2 linked regions of the Cricetulus griseus genome follow. The protein of the gene in region 1 purifies or fractionates together with the protein of each later gene. This does not show direct contact. Links are inferred from orthologs where the notes say so. Each region holds a gene or a part of one and is shown on either strand. Other genes may lie near its edges.

Region 1 (4,177 bases):
TACTTGAAATTTTTTCCTATTATTCATTCATTCCTCCATCTATTCATGTATCTACTGCATCCCAGATTTACTATGAACTTCATGAGAGCATTCCTTATGGTATCCTTGTTGCTAATGCTATTTTAGACATTGGAGAGCATACAAAAATAAGTAAGTCTGACCATAAGGCAGCTAACAAAACAAACACAAATTGCTAAACATACAGCAATCCAAGCGCTACATAAATACATGCATAAGGGCCTATGGTAGTAAATATAATTAGGATCATTGGAAGAAGCTCCATGAAGAGTTGAGTTGTAAATGATGAATGGAAATCAGTTAGGCATAAGAAAACAATCTGAAGAAAAACAAACAAACAAAAAAACAAACAAAGGCATAGCAAAGCCCTCTGTGACAAAAAAGTTTCATTTCTAATAGGGAATGATAGGTAACAAGGCTGGAAAATAAACTTGGGGCCAGAGACTACAAAGGTCCTCTTATATACTGCTGAAGAAATTTCCCTTTATTGCATAGACAATTCAGAGTTTTGTGCAGTTTTTAAAAGCAAAGTCATTACACAATCAAGTTTAGATAGACATGAAGATAGTCAGCAAAACAAATCAGAAAGTCATGGTACCAAGTTAAACAGGAACTGGACAGGGCCTGAGAGTACAAGTTGGGTAGAAAGGGCAGGTGGGTATCAACAAGGTGTTAAGAGTTAAGATATAAATCAAGGATAACTGAAGTTTCTTATGCAACAGTAAGAGAAATGGCATCATTAGCTATGTAAAAAAGCAAAGGAGAAATAGCTATTTTAATAGTTTTTCCCAGAGTGAGAGAAAGACCTAAAGTTTTAATTTATAAAAATAATTTTTCACTAGGCATGGTGGCACACGCCTTTAATCCCAGCACTCTGGAGGCAGAGGCAGGAGGATCTCTGTGGGTTCAAGGTCAGCCTAATCTACAGAGCAAGTTCCAGGACAGCTAGAGCCATTACACAGAGAAACCCTGTCTCAAACAACAACAAATAATAAATAAAAATTTAAAAACCCAGGATTTCTTCTGCTGTTTTTTGTTTTGTTTTGTTTGTTGTTGGTTTGTTTTGCTCTGCTGCAGTAGGGTCTTAGAACAAGTCCAGCTAAGTGCTGGGATAACAAGTGTGTGCCACCATGTCCATATTATTTTGTTTTTAAAGGTTCTGTTTTTGTTTTGTTTTGTTTTTTACAGGAATACCTGGTTAAGCTCCAGAAAAGGTCTATGAAATGTAAGAGCGCCTTCTAAAAGCATGTGACTGACCACTGACAACATGAGAGTTGGCTCTGGTGATAAATTTCTAGAAGTTATTTCACAGCCAGAACAGCAAAGACAGAATCTAAATTTGTCTCTAAACTAAAGTCAGCCTGGAAGGGGTAGAAAAATAGAAGAAGAAGAAAAAGACATAGTAACACATTTGAAATTAGAATCTAAATAGTTTTACGTATTCACAAGTCAGGAAACATGTTAAAGAATGGGTTCTTCAATGAAGACACCCAAATGCCACAGATCCACGAGATACAGCAAAAGTCAGGTAGAAAATCCCAATTCCAATGACAGCTACATGGAAATTTAGACAGTAAAGGTCAGGCCATAAACTCCAAAAACCTTCACTAAAGAAATGGTCAGCTCGACCAAACAGACAGAACAGCAATAGCCCTATTACTAAGCTTCAAGCACAAGTACCCACTACTCTCCAAATCACAAGGGCTGTGGGACAGATTCACAAACAATATCTAGTTTCCCAAAGGAAAACAGACAACAAAGTAAATTCATGAAGCAGAGGAGAGGCAGAAGCTTACTTAGAACACCAATTAAATAACCAATTATCCTGGACTTCAAATATTTCATCTTCTTGTGAACCACGGGTCTCAGTTTTGTTTAAATAATGGGAAACTAGAGATATAAAGCAAAAATCCATCACCATTTGTAAGGAAGGAGTAGGTAGCCCAGACTAGCCTCGAACTCCAGGTCCTCCTATTTTAGTCTCCCAAATGTTGAGACTTAAAACCATGCAAAATGGCAAAAAGTTTGAAACTACCAGATGCCTCAACTTACCAACACGTGGTAAAAATCACTAACTTCATTAGGCCTCAATGTCCTTGCCTCTAAAACCAGAATGCTACCTATGGGCTGTTTATGGAATAGACAATGACAGGCACTTTGTGAGCCAGAGTGCAGGGCCAAATGCAGAGAAACTGTTTTTTAAGCCTGACAAGTAGCGACTTCCATTTTTACCCCCCAAACAAACAAACATATCAATGGTTAAATATCCAGGTCCTCGAAAGGAATTAACAAAGCTTGCTCGGATCTCAATGAGCCTTCCAAAAGCCCCCAGGCCGCCTTATGTCCCCTGAATCACCAGTTCAGGCGAGGGGGTGGAAGACTACCAAGGCAAACACAAATGTCGGGAGCAGAATACAATGACTCGCCCAAGGTCAAAAACATTACAGTGTAGACAAGTCAGGCTTGCCAGCAGCAGAGGCTACTTCTCGAGTGTTGCCCCTTCCGGAACCTCAGGGAGCGGCGTAGGGACACCGGTCTGCAGAGATCCCCCGGCCTCCCCCACCTGACCATTGCGGGCGCGGCCAGCTCCTACATCCACCCTGTGCTCGGGCCCCACCCCCGAGGCCGAGACCCCTGCGCTGGGCCCCACAAGATAAAGTTTGCCCGGCTCGCACCCCACGCCAAGTCCACGGTCTCACGCACTATGGTGGCCCGGCCCAGGACCCAGCCGCCGACACCACCCGGCCGGTGCCGCTGGACATCCAGCCTTCTCTCGACCAGCAAGCCCCTCCTTTGGCCCAGACAGCGAGCAGAGACGACTGTAGACTTCCTCCGCGAGCTCCGCCTCCTCGCAGCCAAGATGCACCCTCCGCCGGAGACGACGGACGGACCCATGAACCAGTCGAAACTCGGAACTGGAGGGGCGCGCAGACAGACGGCCTCTAGAGCCAATCGGTACGCGAGGCGGGAGGGGGCGTGGTTCAAGGAACTGAGCCACGCCCCGTTGGTCCTTCCGCTGGCGCGGAGGAGGCGAAGGAAACTTTCCCAGAGTTCCTTCGAGCTCTCTGGGTTCCCGTGGGGGTTGAGGCGGCAGCAGCGGGCGGGGAGGGGGCTGGGGTCGGCTGCGGATTGGATGAGGAGAGGGCGGAGACAGGGACACTGTCCCACCTCCGAGAGGCCCCAGAAACCCTGCTGTTGGGAGCCTGGGCCGCCCGAGACCCCGACTGGGCAGCCCGGCAGACATCCCCACAGCACACGTGAGCCGGGTAGGCTCCAGGGTGGTTGGCAGCGTGCATTCGGCTGTAGAGAGCCAGCCATGCTTCGCACTCCCGCCCCTCCGCCTCTGTAGCAACCACCGGAGCAGCCCGAGACCCCGGCTGTGGTAGACATGCCCATAGACTGTACAGTGGAGAGTCGCACGGTGCGAGATCAGGCTGCAAAGCCCCTCTGTTCCATTTCAGGACTTGGCGGTACAGCGGCGCACTACATTCCGTTAGGTACTTCGTCCCCAGATCACTCGGGTGCAAGGAACAGCTCCAGGATGTCAGGTGCATAACCTTAACCCAAGCTGCACCGGCTCCGGGAACCCAAGGTCCCACCCTGACGACTCCGCATGTTTGGAGCAAAGTTAACAGAATGAATGGCCCATGAGCGTGCTTGTTGTCGACCCGATCGCCTGAGGAGACACCATTCTACGTGGGGAATTGTGACTTCCAAATCAGTGCTGGTGGCATAAGAAAGACGCTGACAGACCGAATCCCGCTGAGGGGCGGAGCGTCTGGGAGAGCGGTCACGTGGAGGAACCGGAAGTCCTACCCATCATCTTCTCCCCACCTATTGCTGCACTGGTTTGTGTTTAGGACTCGATCTCCGTCTTCCTCCTACTTTTGTCGCTCTTGGTCTAAGGTGATGGCTCCGCCTGGGGATCCGCGACGCCTCTGCAGGCTGGTGCAGGAGGGCCGGCTGCGCGCCCTGCAGGAGGAACTGGAGGGAGCCGGAGGTTGTCAGGGGCCGGAGGCGGCCCGAGGTTGCCAGGGGCCAGCAGGGGACACCCTTGTCCACTGTGCAGCCCGGCACGGGCGGCAAGACATCCTAGCTTATCTAGTGGAGACTTGGAGTATGGACATCGAGGCTGCCAACCGAGACTACAAGCGGCCTC
Region 2 (3,649 bases), on another chromosome or scaffold:
CTAACTTTCTTCTTTTAGAGACCATTTTAACAATAATTAATCTTAGTATATTTATGAGGAGACTAGGAATGGAAAAGTGGGCCGTGGTGTTTATACATTCACGTTAAAATGCATATATCGGGGCTGTGGAGACAGATGACTCCATCCATGTATGTACATCCTCAGGCACAATGTGAGCATGTGACATGCTCACACAACAATATATGTCTCACACATAGTCACGTGAAGACAAAAGTACAATAGAAGATTTTAATAAGTTATGTACAAGAAACTGCACTTAAAATACATAATCCAGATACAAAGTTAGAAGATTTTTATATTCTTTTTATCTTGATGTGTTAGGAAACTTGGGTAGTGACTGGAATTACCTTTATTAGGTGTATCTGGTCTAAAATTGTTGGATTCAGGGAATACATTGATAGGTTGAATCTACTAATGGCTTTTAAGCTGATAGAAGTGCTCACCTTAAAGCAGAATGTTCTTTTTGAACTTCACTGTCAAAATGTGAGCTCGTAAACATCTGTACAAAGTGACTCACTTGAGAGGTTGCTGATTTCATTGTAATACAAGTTTTTTGTTTTTTTGTTTTTTTTATACTGAGTTGTAATCTAGGAATTTTGGTAAAACTAAGAATTCAAATTATTGTCTGACTGGTTTTGGAGAACCATAGTGAAATACAGTTATTTAATGCATCTTTCCCCCTTTTCCATCCAGCTTGCATTGGTGACATGGAGAGATTGTTTATTCAGGCCATTGAATAAACAGGTATCTATTATGGATGTGTTTTTTTCCTTTTAAAAAAATTTCCCATTTCTATGTTGTCTTCCCAAGCCTTTGAACTATCTCAAGAGTATTTGTTGGTCTGGGGACCTGGCTTTGTTGGTAAAGTGCTTGCCATGTAAGCATGAGGGCCTGGGGTAGATTCCCAGCACCCATGGAAGAAAGCAGGTGTGTTGATGCCCACTAGTGATCCTGGCACTGGAGAGTAGAGTCAAGCAGATCCCTGGGGCTCCCTGCCAGTGCCACCCTAGCCTTCTGAATGAGCTCCATGGCAGTGAGAAACTCCATCTCAAAAAGACAAGGTGATGATTCCCGGGGAGCCATACTTGAGATTGTCCACTGGTCTACCTCCACACACATGTACATATATGTACTTACCCATACCCCTAAAACATGGCTTTAAATGTTTAAAGGATATGACCTGTAACATTTCTACCTAATATTTTTTCTGTATTCTTAAAGGTAACAAATGCTGTTTTAAAACTGATTGAAAAGGAAAGAAATGGCGAAACCATCAACACAAGACTGATTAGTGGAGTTGTACAATCTTATGGTAAATAATTGTCTTTATTTGGTTTTCATATCACATGGCAATCATGATAATTCTGGCATTCATTTAAAAACATTTAAATATCACAAATATTATTCCATTTTTAAGGTACTTTTAAGCAGTACTTTTATAAATCATAAGTTATTTAATCTTTGTACTTTAAGGAAATTTTGATTGGAAAAAAAATGAACTATTTCCTTTGCTGCTTTCATGAGGAAATATTTATATATAATGTGACTGTTTTTGACTTAAATGATAACCAGAAACCTATCAGCTTAAAAAATTAAGATTGAGGGGCTGGAGAGATGGCTCAGAGGTTAAGAGCACTGACTGCTCTTCCAGAGGTCCTGAGTTCAATTCCCAGCAACTATATGGTGGCTCACAACCATCCATTGTGAGATCTGGTGCCTTCTTCTAGTGTGCAGATATACATGGAAACAGAATGTTATATACATAATAAATAAATAAAATCTAAAAAAAAAAATTAAGATTGAGACCCTGATTAACTGATGTGTTGTTCAAGCTCAGGTAGGTTTGTGTTTCTGTGAAAATTTACAGTACAACATTTAGATCACTTTTGGAAATGTAGACTTTCTCTGACTGAACTTGTGATAATTGTGAAGTATCCCTGGCCCAGGTAGAGGTGATCTACTCCTATATATCTTGGAGTTTATTGTTTTATTTCTCTTTTATTAAAATAAGAATATTTCAATACTAGTGAATAACAGTTAACCTTAAAACCCTCCATTATACATTGATCTTTCAAGTGTAACTTAAACTGAATGTTACACCAAAGTATTATCTGTGAAATATTACAAAAAGTAGGGTAAATATAGTTCATATTTCTTTCTAGTGGAATTGGGGCTGAATGAAGATGACGCATTTGCAAAGGGCCCTACGTTAACAGTGTATAAAGAATCCTTTGAATCTCAATTTTTGGCTGACACAGAGAGATTTTATACCAGAGAAAGTACTGAATTCTTGCAGCAGAACCCAGTTACTGAATATATGAAAAAGGTAAGCTTAAACATACATAGTATGTAAAGTAGATGTAAGTTAAATAGTCATTGCTTCTCTAGTGAGTTCTTGGCAATGCAGTGTTCCTCACAAGTCAGGCTTGGCACTGATGTCACACTATGTCCCATGGATCCAGCTCCTGTCACTCTGTAAGGGACTTTCACAAATTGATAATAATCATGAGTGAGTGTTCATTCCTTTTGCATAGCTAAGGAGGTGCCTTGATAACTGCATGCCTTCTTCATGTTTTGAACCATCTCCCCTTGAGTGTGACGACTAGTGGGCCCCACAGTTTTGTCAGTGAGATAGTATTGAGCAGATATTCCAAGATTTGTTAGCTATTTCATTTGTTTGTTTTTGCTACTTTTTTCTTAAATATTTCCTAGGAGTTTATAGCTTAGTCTTTAAGATTACATTAGGAAGGAGGATCTAAATTCTGACTTGGGAGAAGAGCTATGTATCGTATTCTATAAGCATTATTTTACTACATGATGCTTCCATGAACTTCTAATAGGAATTTTCTTTGCTCTTTCTTGAAAATTCAGGTATTCTGGATGAAGGGGCTGAGGAATGTCAGGAGTCTTTAAGCTTTCTGTTATATACTGCCAGGCAGTAAATATCTTAAGGCTTTGCGTGCTATGTATGATCTCTTCCACCACTGTTCAACTTTGCTGTTATAACACAACAGTCGGCAATGTGTAAATAAACAAGAAATATGTGTCAGGATTTTGCCAATCAACTGTAGAGTGACTTCTCTCCTGAATGTACTAGATTTTCAAGAGTCTGGTTCAGACCAAGTCTAGTACCTGCTTTGCCCTCTCTTGGGCAGGAAATGGACTGTACAGTCATTGCTTCCGTGGTTCAAAGAAAGAATACATAAGACCAACCACCCTGCTTCTGACTTACAGAAAAAGTCATGCCCAGCTTGTGGTGTTCAAAGTGCATTTTCATACGGTACACTTACATTGCACATGTAAGTGGGCCTTCTAAGCTGAAATTGAAACCCAATTACACATTTCTGATATCTCAAAACCCAACTAAAGTGGGACTAGTTAGTTGTTTATGTGGAATGGTAGCAGTTCTTTGTATCTAGTATGTGACTGAAACCTGGTCAGCTCCTTGCTCCTTAAGAGTATTTGAAATATAACCTGTTTTGAATTGTGGTATTGCCCATTATTTAATTTTTTAGTGTGACAGAGTAGCTTTTGTAAACAGGTCTCTTACTGCAAAGACCTGTTTCCAATCTTCTTTGCATTTATTTTGTCTATATTCGTCTGTATGTATATACCTGCATGCACATGT

Evidence for each region.
Region 2: the proteins of Fbh1 (region 1) and Cul1 purify together in Homo sapiens (affinity purification with western blotting; 7 studies listed by BioGRID and IntAct, with this or other methods). This does not show direct contact. The link is inferred for Cricetulus griseus from reciprocal best matches to the Homo sapiens genes FBH1 and CUL1.

What each region holds. Positions count from the first base shown.
Region 1 is NC_048596.1:228,545,405-228,549,581, forward strand, and holds the start of Fbh1 (F-box DNA helicase 1), read right to left. Parts: upstream 2,880-4,177; 5' UTR 2,723-2,879; coding exon 2,722-2,722; exon of another isoform or gene 2,694-2,721; intron 1-2,693. Other genes in the region: Ankrd16 (ankyrin repeat domain-containing protein 16), read left to right, coding at 3,928-4,177. UniProt on the Homo sapiens protein: 3'-5' DNA helicase and substrate-recognition component of the SCF(FBH1) E3 ubiquitin ligase complex that plays a key role in response to stalled/damaged replication forks.
Region 2 is NW_023276806.1:222,444,980-222,448,628, reverse strand, and holds part of Cul1 (cullin-1), read left to right. Parts: intron 1-714; coding exon 715-765; intron 766-1,242; coding exon 1,243-1,333; intron 1,334-2,183; coding exon 2,184-2,347; intron 2,348-3,649. UniProt on the Homo sapiens protein: Core component of multiple cullin-RING-based SCF (SKP1-CUL1-F-box protein) E3 ubiquitin-protein ligase complexes, which mediate the ubiquitination of proteins involved in cell cycle progression, signal transduction and transcription.